Linked DNA regions of Caenorhabditis elegans. The protein of the gene in region 1 interacts with the protein of each later gene in a pairwise test. Each region holds a gene or a part of one and is shown on either strand. Other genes may lie near its edges.

Evidence for each region. The genes of interacting proteins can lie anywhere in the genome.
Region 2: the proteins of M03B6.1 (region 1) and F47B8.3 interact in a two-hybrid assay, tested with the Caenorhabditis elegans proteins (one large-scale study listed by BioGRID).

Annotation. Positions count from the first base shown.
Region 1 is NC_003284.9:13,838,456-13,844,808, forward strand, and holds M03B6.1 (uncharacterized protein), read left to right. Parts: upstream 1-3,154; 5' UTR 3,155-3,172; coding exon 3,173-3,374; intron 3,375-4,069; coding exon 4,070-4,281; intron 4,282-4,468; coding exon 4,469-4,507; 3' UTR 4,508-4,867; downstream 4,868-6,353. Other genes in the region: M03B6.5 (uncharacterized protein), read left to right, coding at 5,833-5,887, 5,940-6,205.
Region 2 is NC_003283.11:14,319,730-14,325,904, forward strand, and holds F47B8.3 (Glutaredoxin domain-containing protein), read right to left. Parts: upstream 3,275-6,175; 5' UTR 3,148-3,274; coding exon 3,047-3,147; intron 2,600-3,046; coding exon 2,341-2,599; intron 2,295-2,340; coding exon 2,121-2,294; intron 2,071-2,120; coding exon 1,750-2,070; 3' UTR 1,638-1,749; downstream 1-1,637. Other genes in the region: F47B8.13 (Skin secretory protein xP2-like), read right to left, coding at 1-2; F47B8.14 (Skin secretory protein xP2-like), read left to right, coding at 817-1,584; F47B8.4 (Glutaredoxin domain-containing protein), read right to left, coding at 3,878-4,198, 4,243-4,422, 4,468-4,720, 4,765-4,859; F47B8.18 (Skin secretory protein xP2-like), read right to left, coding at 5,094-5,735; F47B8.5 (Methyltransferase FkbM domain-containing protein), read right to left, coding at 6,091-6,175.

The DNA of each region.
Region 1 (6,353 bases):
TTCACGTAATTATAAAGACACCTTCAATAATCTTTTTCAAAATTTATTTTGTATCTTTACCAGAACTCCAAAATTTTCTGCTGTTTTTTTTTAGAAGAAAAAGCCTAATAAATTTTAATTTTACTTCAAATAGCTTGAGGGATGAGTACGGGTTTTGTGAATTTTAAACGTATAGCCCAAAAATGTGCTCAAATATTAATTTTGTAAAAAAACTTCTCAAAAATCGTTTAAACAATTTTTACGGCGGTTCAAAATTTTGAAACAAACTACTCTATTTTAGCAAAATTTCAAAATTTTTTATTGATTATTTTGGTCGTTTATCTCACGTTATTTCATTTTGAGGTAAAGTTAGACAAATTTGTAAAAAAACAGCATAACGTTCCAGAAGCAAAAATATTAACTAAAATTCCAGAAAGTAGTTCTTATTGTCGTTGAATATCATCAAACCTGTTCCATTCATTTTGCAGCAGTTTTTTTTTACGTTATCAATGTTTAATTCTGCAGAAAAGTTATTTCTCGTTTATCAGTGAGCAAGTTCTCATCTCGACGTTGCACTTTTTCCTGTAAACGCTGTGTTTATAAATTCTCATTTTATTGCAAAAAAATCATTTGCATGGTGAGCACTTTCTTTGCGGATGAGTGCTATTTCTATTTGCTTCTCAGTATTACAATTGAAATTAATAGGCGTCATCACTTACTTCATCAGCTGATGCTAAATTCTGCCAAGCTTGGTTGCTTTTCAAAACGGACAATTTATATCAGTTTATTCAAAAGTGAACTTAAAAAATGAATTTATAACTTTTGAACTTGGTATACGCTAAACTTTTTCTGTCAAAATTTATTGATACCTACCGAGTTGGACACACATCAAAGCCTCGAAATATGTTTTTGAACTCCATATTGAACTCACAATTCGAAAACTCAATTTGAATGCAAATCCTTCGAAAAAACAATTTCCTGTTCCTCTCAGCTTAACAAAAAAAATTCCAGTTCTTTGAGTTGCTTGCATTTCATTATTCTAATACCAAAAACACAAATCCCGTTTCTACCGTGCCCTTTAGTTCCGTGTTTTCGAACAATATTCGGCACTTCTGTTTTCAGTCAACTTAACATTTCCAGCAATATTATTGTGTTGTTGGTCGCTGGTCATTTTTTTTGGTGCGTAACTTTTTTCCTACAGACCAGGAGCAAATATTTGTATAATAGTGAAATAAAATGAAAGAAGACCCGCGAAGGAAGAGAATAAATATTTTTCAATTTTTTTTTGAAAATAACTGTTTTTCTCCAAAATGATCAGAGATTTCAAAAATGAAAAGAAGAAAAAAAAACATATTTGTTTTTAGAAGGAAGTTGGTTATTAAAGTTGGTGAGGTTTTTTCAAATAATGTGAAAAAACAGTGATGTTTTCATTTTTAAGTTTTGAGTATGGCGTGGCGCACCTAATAATTTTTTATCCGTACCGAATGTTAAAAAAATGTAATATGTAGGTACCACTTTAGCATTACAACTGTTAAAATTATAAATCAAATTTGGTCATGTTTTTTATTTAAAAAATAATAATCTGAAACATTTAAAGACTTAAAGATTTAAAGATTTAAAAGCGTTTAAAGACTGGTAAGAACATCGACATGAATAAATGAGACAAAAATTGGCCAGACCAGACTTTTTAAATTTGATTTATATTCAAAATCTTATAGAAAAAAATATTTTTACTTCTTCTCAGATTTGATTCCAGGCAAATTATCTTGCGTTTGATTTTTTTTTCTTGAATTTTTTGTATCGTGGTCTCCAAAACTTCAACACTTTTCTCGTTTTGCTATAAACTACTTGGGACTTAAAGTAACAGTTTATATATTTATTGATGAAAATTTTTTGTTCAAATTGACAAACAATTTTACGTGTGCATTGTTTTCATAACCCGCTTTCTGCGGAAGTAACTTGCCAGCCACAGTTTTGTTTTTCGAAGCACCCAACATGTTTTGGGCACTGCAACTCACACGCCTACGTGTTACATCATTTCCTCACAAATTTCTGATTAGCGTAACTTGTAAATCTATAAATACCTGTAAACATACGTTGAATTGCAAAAAATTCTTATTCCCATAACTTTTTTCTTAGATTTCTAGTTTCAAATGTCCTTCCTCATTTCAGTCTATTTTCGATTTTCATTCATTGTTGTGTCTGCTCCACACGAATTCCAATTTCCATTTCATTAACTTTTTGTTTACAAATTCAAAAGATCTTTTCCTCGTTTCGTTTTATTTTGTTTCAAAATTAGATCGGCACCATGCAATCCAATTTTCATGATTTTTCTTTGCCAACTTGTTCATTTGTTTCATTTCAGTGAATTTTTTTAATGAAAACTTGAGGATTTGGGAGATAAAAAACGGCTGAAAAAAAAATCGGAAATTTGAATCGAAAAAATTAAATCACGAAAAAAGTGGATGATATTTGAATACGTTAAAGAGCAAATTTGGGGGATTCTTTTTTCAATTTTAAAAATAACTTCTGAAACTAGTTTTATGATTTAAAAAAAATTGTTGTTCCGTGTTTTATTTGTGGAAAACAAGGTTAAAAATAACTACTTAAACATGTTTTTTCACATGTATACATATATATATATATATATATATATATATATATATATATATATATATATATATATATGTACCATATTTATATGCATTTTCAAATTTTGAAGGCTCTACAACGATATGCCTTTTGGTGCAAGATTATATGATTGCGAATGAGTATTTACAAGTTTTTTGAAAAATAAATTTAGTCTGATTAGTAAATTAGTGCGCTAGTCTAATTTGGTTTCAAAAGATAATGGCTCCAGTTGATTCAAAATTATTCAAACGTAATCCTGAGCTGTCACGCCCATGGTGGAACAAATGATTCACTTGCATTTGCAAAAATCTTTTTTTATGCAAGCTTCTATCTTTTTCTTCTTCTTTCTCATCTCTCTTGATTTCCACCCAAATGTCTGACAAGTGGCTGAGTGATCCTGCTGAGCTCAATGAGCAAGTTTTTGCAGAGAACATTCTTCCTCCCCCTTTCCCCTGGATGAGTAATTGCCCTTGTTTGACTGAAGGGCGGAGTCATTTCTGAGAATATTGAGAGTATAAGAAATTGCGCGGCACTCATTTTTCGTGTTTCAGCTGACCAAGTCATGGAGTGGGTTTTGATGTATTCCGGAAGACCGTCATCTTCAAGGCCGATCAACCGAAATGCCGAAAGTTCAACTTCAATTGCCGAAAAGGAGCGAAAACAAGCAGAGGATTTTATCAATGATAATTTGGATGTTCCTTTGGAAGAGCTTGCTGCTCAGAACAAGGAACTTCAAAGGCTGAAAATTATTGAATATCATAAAAGTGAGCTATTTAATTTTTTTGTAACAAAATTTTCAACAAGTTGGTGATATTTCATATTTTCTGTTGCAAATAGCAATCATTCGGTTTTTTCACTCATAATTTTGGAAGTCGACCAAAAAACGGGGTTTCAAACAAGTTTTAAGCAAAATATTATGAATCTATTTTGCTTTCTTGTATTTGAAAATCAGAAGGGGTTGAACTTGAAACAATGCTTTAAAAGAAAGTGTAACATTTTAAAATTACCCCATCCTAAGACCCTACTCTATCTCTAACGAGATACACTATTCCATCAGCTCATTAACTATGCAACAAAAAAAAACAGTCTGCTGGTAATATTTTGTAAAACTGCAAATTGACTAACTTTCTGTTTTTCTACGTTAAAAGTGCTCTGTTGATCATGCTCAGGAGGGTGTCTTTAAAGTAGCCCAATTTTTTGTTGAATCTAGGTATCAATAAATCAGTTACAAAGTACAAATACTTGAATTTCAAATTCCTATAAATAAGTTTAATGTTGCAGCATAAATCTCTCATGCTTTCCATTACAAACATCACTTTTTCATGTGCCTGTGGGAAAATCCATTTTTGGAATTCTTCGTGTTCAAAAGATCAAATGATAGACTTCATTAATTTTTTTTTTGTTTCTGAAACGTTTTCGCGGGTACTTGTTTACCATATTTATACTCCTGTATTTTCAGTGAAAGCCAGGAAATGTCCAACACTTGACGAGCAACCACGTGGCCCGGATGGGAGAATTATCTTTTCCGAAGAGTACATTGATTTCATGCTTTACCGTGATCTTCAGCCACTAGTAGATCTTCGAATTCTCAAACACACTGAGATAATCATCCAAGAAAGAATTCGCGAGCGTGATGCAGCAAAGAAGGGTAATTTGTTGGATTGTGTACAGGTAAGAATATACTTTGGACTTGATAAAAACCAGCTGACTGTTCCATTTAATTCATTCTGATGTTTGAACATTCAATTTGAACGTCTGTTAGAGTTTTCTACTAACTTTTAGGCCACCATTTGTCTATGCTCTATCAATTAAAAATCACAAAGCCGAATTGCATTTTTCTAATTTAATTTTGTTTCAGGAACCAACGACCTCTCCCACCACTTGCCCAAAAGCATGAAGTGGAAAACATCAAGGACATTCAAAAATTTCATTGCTATGTTTTTAAATTAAAATCCACAAGTAGTTTTCAGTCCAAATTATTAATTGTAAACGCGTGAAAAGTGTATTTTTTATGAAAAAAAATTTTTAAGCTTCCATGTAAACATAGTGATTTGCCAATATTCTATATTTTGAAAATTGAAATAAAATGTCAAAAAATATTTTTGTAAAAGTGTGACCTGTTAGGGACGGTTTGAGAAATAGCTCCCCAGCACAAATATCTTATCAGAAATAAATTTTGCAAGAAAGTGTATCGCTTCATATTTCAATGACACGCGCAACGAGATGATTGATTATGATATAAATTTTTTGGAACAGTACATTTTTCATATCTCTTGTTATCAGCAATCACCTTCTCGAATACAAAGTTTCATCATCCCGATTCTCACATTGGTTACCAACAAAATTACACTTTGACATTTCGATAAATTCAATCTCTGATTATTGGAGAGGGCTGAGTGGATGGGGGAACGCTTACATATATCTTTCTTAAAAATGCAGTAATAACGACAATCAGTCATGTGCGATTGGTTGGACTATGGCCAACTTTTTAGAAAACAGATAGACCTCATGCTCCATTGCCTTGAAATCATGGTTGCGCAGCTGAAATTGCCCAAATTGCCGATTGCCGGAATTGCTGATTGCCGAAAATTAAAATTCCTGGAAATATAAATTTGATACTTTTTGTAGACTTAGAAGCCTAACCATGCATTTAAATAAATAAATAAAATTTCCTTTTCAAGCTCAAACTGTTTTGATCCTTTAAGATTGAACGTTTTCTATTAGAAAGTGACTAACCGAATACTGAAAAACAAACTGAACTTTTGTCATGGTTCAAAATATAATTATGATTAAAAATTGCCAAAAGTGACCGGCAATCGGCAATTGCCAGAATTACCGATTGCCGAAAATTTCGGTAATTGCCAAAAAAATTTTGAGAATCTGGAAAGACGCATTAGAGTCAATATGCTAGCATGTAACTACATATGTATGTGAAAGTTTTAGTATTCGCTTTAAATTTATAAAAACTTTCTCTATTCTTTTCTGGAACAAATGTCAAAAAAGTTGTTGATGATTATCTATTGCTCAAAGACCTTCTCATCTTTCCAAACTTTTGTCACAGGTTGAAGAGCGACGCGTGTGCGGTGCGTCCCCCCATCTCATCAATTAAATCCCGCACAATTTTTTGAGGCAGTAATCTCACGTTTTTATTGGATTTTTGTCGCATCTGCGTCAATCAAAACTTCTATTATTTTTCCATAATATTATTGATATTTATTACAAATGGAGCTTTCTGATTCATATCCTAGTACTAGTACAAGTCAAGTACGGTTTTCCAGTGAGTGATTTTTTTTAGTTTATTATTTAAAAAAAATTGATCTCAATTTCAGTTCCAATAGAAGTACCTGGAATCAAAGTGGAAAGCCAGGACGATGAAGAAAGTGGAATTCAATTTGAAGAAATCCAAATAAATCGGGAAAAAGTGTGCTGCACATTGTACCAATGGAGTGGAAAACATCAAAGATGCTGCAAGAATCATCCGCAAAATCGGCGAAACATTGGCGATATTTCCATAGTTTGGTTTTATTTCGTTCTTCTCATGCTGTTTTTGTGCTTGTTTTTTGTGATTTTTCTAGGGGTCGTGAAAAATTATTGATAAATGATTAATTTAATTCAATTTTTGGTAGCTCTGGAAGTGAACATGAATCAAAAAAATCGTGACTAATTGCGGGATGACTATATGTCTGTATCAAAGAGGAATTTTTCTGTTAAAAGATTTTAGGAAATTTCTTGTTTAGTATTTA
Region 2 (6,175 bases), on another chromosome or scaffold:
ATTTCTGAAAAATTCGAAGTGAAAGTTTTGAAAACTTCAGTGAAACTCACTTTGATGTGAAGAAATAGGAAGATGGAGAATGTAATGATACTTTTCAATTTCAACTTCCAACTTTTATACCGGGCAGCTGAAGAGAATGCGGAACACCTAAAACTAGTTCCTAGGGAAAAGCCAGTAGCTGCAAAAATAGAAAAAAACAACATCAATCTCAAATTTAACAAAAGGAATACAAAGAGAGAAAACACATTGTAAAATAACCGTGCTTTGTGAAACGAAAAACAAAACAAATTGAAAGATTGTGATATTGTAACTGTAACGGTTTTGCAGAAAGAGGATAATCGGATTTGAACAGATGCCTGTTTTAAAAATTGCATTTTTGTAATTATTAATACTGACCAGTCATTTTTAGGGTGTTTATAAACAATCTATGCTATGAAAAATATAATTTCCTGGTAGTCAAAAGTAGAGAAATGGATTGGCCAAATCTGACCTCACTTAAATTTTTGGAATTTTAATGAGGCATTGGCGACAGTCCCGTTGGTAATCTCCTTAATTTATTTCAATGCGGATTTCCAAATGTACTTTGAAAATATATTTTTTTAAATTCTCTTGGTAATTTATTTATTTTTCAGCTTCATCTGTTTTTGTTTTAAACTAATAGTTTCTCACTTTCATTTTCACAACAAAATCAAGTTTTGATTAGAAAGAGAAGTAGTATATAAACAGAAAAGACATCGAGAACGGCATCACTTCACCTTCTAATTCCAAGTGAGTTGGGACTTTTCAGATTATTCAACTAAATATTAATTTCCAGATATGAATCTCTTTTTGATCTTCGCTGCTTCTACTTTAATTTTCTCTGCTCACTGTCAGTATTCAAGTGGCGGAGGAGGTGGTGGTTACTCAGGTGGTGGAGGTGGTGGAGGAGACGCTGCTCCACCTCCTCCTCCACCTGCCGATGCCGCACCAGCTCCAGCCCCAGCTCCGGAACCAGAAGCCGCCCCTGCAGCACCAGCAGCCGATGCCGGAGGTTATGCCGCTGCTGCATCAGCCGGCGGTGGATCATATCCAGCCAAGAAGAGAAGAGTTGCTCGTGACTATGCTGAAGGAGGAGCTGCTCCAGCTGCTCCAGCAGAACCCGCTTCAGCTCCAGCTCCAGCACCCGAAGCGGCTCCAGCACCAGAACCAACGCCAGCTCCAGCTCCAGAAGCCGCTCCAGCTCCGGCACCAGATGCCGCTCCAACAGCCCCAGCAGCAGGCGCAGGTGGATATTCCGCCGGCGCAGATGCTCCAACTGGTGGTGGATCTTATCCATCCAAGAAGAGAAGAGTTGCTCGTGATTATGCTGAAGAAGGTGCCGCTCCAGCTGCGCCAGCAGAACCCGCCCCAGTTCCTGCACCAGAACCAGCACCAGAAGCCGCTCCAGCACCAGCACCAGAAGCCGCTCCAGTTCCGGCACAAGATGCCGCTCCAGCAGCCCCAGCAGCAGACGCAGGTGGATATTCCGCCGGCGCAGCTGCTCCAGCTGCTGACGGATCTTACCCGACTAAGAAAATGATGAGATTTTCTCGTCTCGTTATTTAACTGACACTTTTTTATATCCCCATGTATCTCTCTCACTGTAACCGGTTCATAATTTTTACGGTTTTTAATAACTTCATTTCATTAATAAATAGATTCATCATGTGAGTTTTACGAGGTATTCGGAGTAAATGAGGTTTGTAAAAAGATCAGGTAGAAAATAGTGATTCAATTCATTGTGTAGACCTTGGGAAGCTTCGGAAGCAAATTTTCTAGATTTGACAATGGTTCAAAAGCTCCATCAACGAACAGCTGAGGGAAGGTTTCACAATCTGATAATGCTTTTGAAATAAATCGAATTTCAGAATCTGTGGAAACATCAAATATAGTGTAATCTATTTGATTATCACTGAGTGATTGTATTGTAGATAGAGTTTGCTCATCCTCAAGATAATTTACAAAAAGAAGAACTGGTTTCCGGAAGATTTTGTAAATTTTAGCTTGACCATTCTCCATTTTTGAATTATCATTTCGAATTTCACTTTCTTCCTGAAAACATAACTTTTAAAATTGTACATGAATTTCAGTTCAGAACAAACCTCCCTTTGAGCTGTTTGTTTTGTCAATTGATCTGGAAAATTTGTGGCTTTTCTGCTAACGGGTAGTTTTTCTGGATTTGCAGTGTCTTCTTCCAAAGTTTCAAAAGTTGGAACATCAAATGGGTTAAGCTTGTTAATTAGTTTCTCAACTTTTTGAATTGAGAAATTGTCTCTCTGGAAATTTAATGATTGAAAATTTTAAGAGAATGTTTTAACTTACCTCTAGTTCATTTATTTCCAAAACGATCAGATTCAAAATATCGTCGAACTTGTCCAATTTTCTTTTTGCTAGCTGTGAATTTTGCAATTCAATGTACTCCGAAGCCACGTTTCTGAGGTCTTCAATCCTATTCTGAACAACTGTTACAATGATCTTCAATGCTTTCAGGTCATTCACAAATTTGTCTTCATTGGAATCCCAAAATTTGAAGACACTTTGAAACTGGAGAAATTGAATTCGCATTTGGATCATTGCATCTCTGAAAAAAATTTAAATTTGTTCAGTGTCTAATTTCATATTTTAATAAAAATTATGGTTTCCGCAAGTTTTCGCAATTCAAAATCGATTAATTATGAATGTGAGCAAATCTTGAATTTCACAAATGTTCCGCGTTTTTCAACGGAAAAATTACGGTTTCAGGCAAAATTTGTATGCTAAAATGAAATATTTTATCGAAAAATACAAAACATAAAATTAGGAGTGGAATTGAAATATTCAACTGAAATTTCGGAATCAAATTTCTTGGTTATAATTTGAAAATTTGGACTTACAATTAATACCTAATTGAATTTTTCTTATTCCACCTCAGAATTTCAGCTAAAAGAGCCTTTTCTAATCTGAAACTTACTGTCTGAACATCTTAAAAAATTTAAATTATTTCGCAACCGTCACTAGTTTTTCATGTTTTAGGGAACGTTTCTCTCACCTCAAAACTGTGAGTTTCACACCTAAATCCTCTTCACCAGCTTCACTTTCCAATTCGGGTTTCAGTTTCTCCGGAGACTTTCCAAAAACTCCGCGCATCATCGTTTCCTAGAAGGACGAAGCAAAAGAAAGAAAAAATTAAAATTGGTTGGCGAAGAATAACTAGTTCGAGAAAAAAGCAAACATATAAATAGTGTAAGAGAACGGAGACGCAGTGTTTCATAGTCAAGGCTTTTTCTCTGTTTCTCTTCGATTTATATGGTGCATCGGTGAGGAACAGGAGGATGGCAGAGAGGCTAGAGATGCCATGTGAGAGGGATACCAGGGTTCTCTGTTCTCAGATATGACCAAAAAGTCAGAAAGAGAATTTTAAGAAAAATGAGATATAAAATTACTGTTTCAATGGCTTTTTAAGCACAGCTCAAAAATGGAGGATTTTTTCAAAAAAAATCTTTCAAACGCCAAAATGTTCCACAAGTTTGTCTACATGATTCCTATTGAGGAAATCTCATATCCAAACTCTGGAAAAAGTTCAAGCAGCTGATATCTCGCGAGTCATTATTTGACAATTATTTTTGAAACTTAAGAATAGTTTTTTTTAAGAGTAGAGTTGCTTTAATAAAGCACAAATAAAAACGTTCTAACTACATTTTTACGTACGTCCTTTCGGAAAATCTTGCAGAATTAACGAAAAACTAAAATCGATGAAATTCGATAGCAAATCATATGAATGAATAGTTTTTAAATATCATTATTTTTGAAAAAATTTATTTTAAATTGATAATAAAAAATAAACAATACATATACATATAGCTTAGAAATTGTGTGATGCTCAATTCATTGTGTAGACCTTGGGAAGCTTCGGAAGAAGATTTTTCAGAATTGGCAATGGCTCAAAAGCTCCATCAACGAACAGCTGAGGGAAGGTTTCACAATCTGATAATGCTTTTGAAATAAATCGAATTTCAGAATCTGTGGAAACATCAAATATAGTGTATTCAATTTGATTATCATTGAGTGATTGTATTGTAGATAAAGTTTGCTCATCCTCAAGATAATTCACGAAAAGAACAACCGATTTTCGGAAGATTTTGTAAATTTTAGCTTGACCACTCATCATTCTACAATTATCCATTCTGATCTCATTTTCTTCCTGTAACATAATTTTGTAGCAAACTGTAAGAGATTTAAACTCACTTCGAGTTGAAAAGTCTCCCTTTGCGTTTTAATTTCTAGTTTTTCAGGAATATTTCCCATTGATGAAACTTGAGTATTCAGTTCTAATACGACGCCTTGAATATTTTCGTAAATTGGCACGTCGAATGGATTGAGATTGTTGATTAGTTTCTCTACCTTCTCGATGAAAAAATTTTGGCCCTGAAATTCTATTCTTAAATTTCTAAAAAAATAAAAAAACATTACTTTTGCTTTGCTTATTTCGAATGCTATTTTATTCAATGTATACTCAAAGCTATCAATAATTGTCTTCAACATCTGGAGGTTCTTGATTTTGAAATATTCTCCAACTATCAGCTTTATATCGTCAATTTGGTTTTGAACGACTATAATTATAACATTGAGTGACTTCTTTTCGTGCTCAATTTTGGCTTTATTCTGATGATAGAAAATACTTTGAAAATGTAGAAACTGAACTCGTAATTGAATCATTGCATCTCTGAAAATGTGCTTTCTGGTGAACGCAATATGTTTCCTATATACCTTAAAACTGTAAGTTTGACACTGAAATCTTCCTCACTTGAATGCCAAGCAGCTTCATTGAATTCTTCTGAAGAGCTTTCAAGATAATTTCCCATTTCAGTTTAGTAGTTTTGAAGTAAACAACAAATGTGTTGAAATGGAACACAAAACAGTCAGTGTGCAGTATTCAAGTATTCAACTGATAAGAGTATCACCTGGTCGAGCAGCAAAAAGTAAACAGCACATGCGAAATGATAGAAACATTTTATTAAAAGTTGATGTCATTTGAACCGTAAATGAAAATGAACCAGTTGGTAAAAGCAAGATCGAAAATGTAGAATAAAAAGTTTTCAAAAAACGAGACGGGAGAAGCGCATCATTTTCTTGGCTGGATAAGATCCACCACCTCCAGCTGGAGCAGCAGCACCAGAGGAGTAACCACTGGCATCTGATTCTGGGGCTGCTGGAGCAGGTGCGGGGGCAGGAGCAACCTCAGGTACTGGAGCTGGTTCTGCTGGAGCGGCATCTGGTGCCGCAGCCGGAGCGGCTTCTGGTGCTGGTGCTGGTGCTGGAGCTGGCGCTGGTTCTGGTGCTGGAGCCGCTTCGGGTGCTGGTGCTGGAGCTGGAGCTGGAGCTGGGGCGGGTTCTGCTGGAGCAGCTGGAGCAGCTTCTCCTTCAGCATAATCACGAGCTACTCTTCTCTTCTTGGCTGGATAAGATCCGCCACCGGCGGGTGCAGCCGCAGCGGCATATCCTCCAGCGTCAGCTGATGGTGCAACAGGTGCGGCTTCTGGAGCTGGAGCTGGAGCTGGAACTGGTTCCGGAGCTGGTGGTGGAGCAGGGGCTGCATCGGCAGGTGGTGAAGATGGTGGTGCAGCTTCTCCTCCACCACCTCCACCACCTGAGTAACCACCACCTCCTCCGCCACTTGAATACTGACAGTGAGCAGAAAAGATTAAAGTAGAAACAGCGAAGATCAGAAGGAGATTCATACCTGGAAATTAATATTTAGTTAAATAATCTGGAAATCCCAACTCACTTGATGAGGAATTAGAAGGTGAAATGATGCCGTTCTCGATGATTTTCTGTTTATATACTGTTTCGCCTTCCAATAAGAACTTGATTTTGTTGTGAAAATGAAAGTGAGAAGTTGAAAATGTAATAAAATTGAAGAAGCTAAACAAGGAAAACAAACAAATCGCTTCAAAAATTATTGCAGGCTTTGTTAATTTTATTTTTGCAAAGACACTGAAAATTGAAGTTTTTTTTTTGAAAATTGTGAAAACAATATTAACTTAAAGATCTTCACGAATTGCAGGATTTTTTTAAACTATTTATTTGAAATTCCTAATATTTACGCCGACAAAAATCACTGTCAAAATTAAACATATACATTCTCATATGTATCACTTCTTCGGTTCGAAAGATTGCA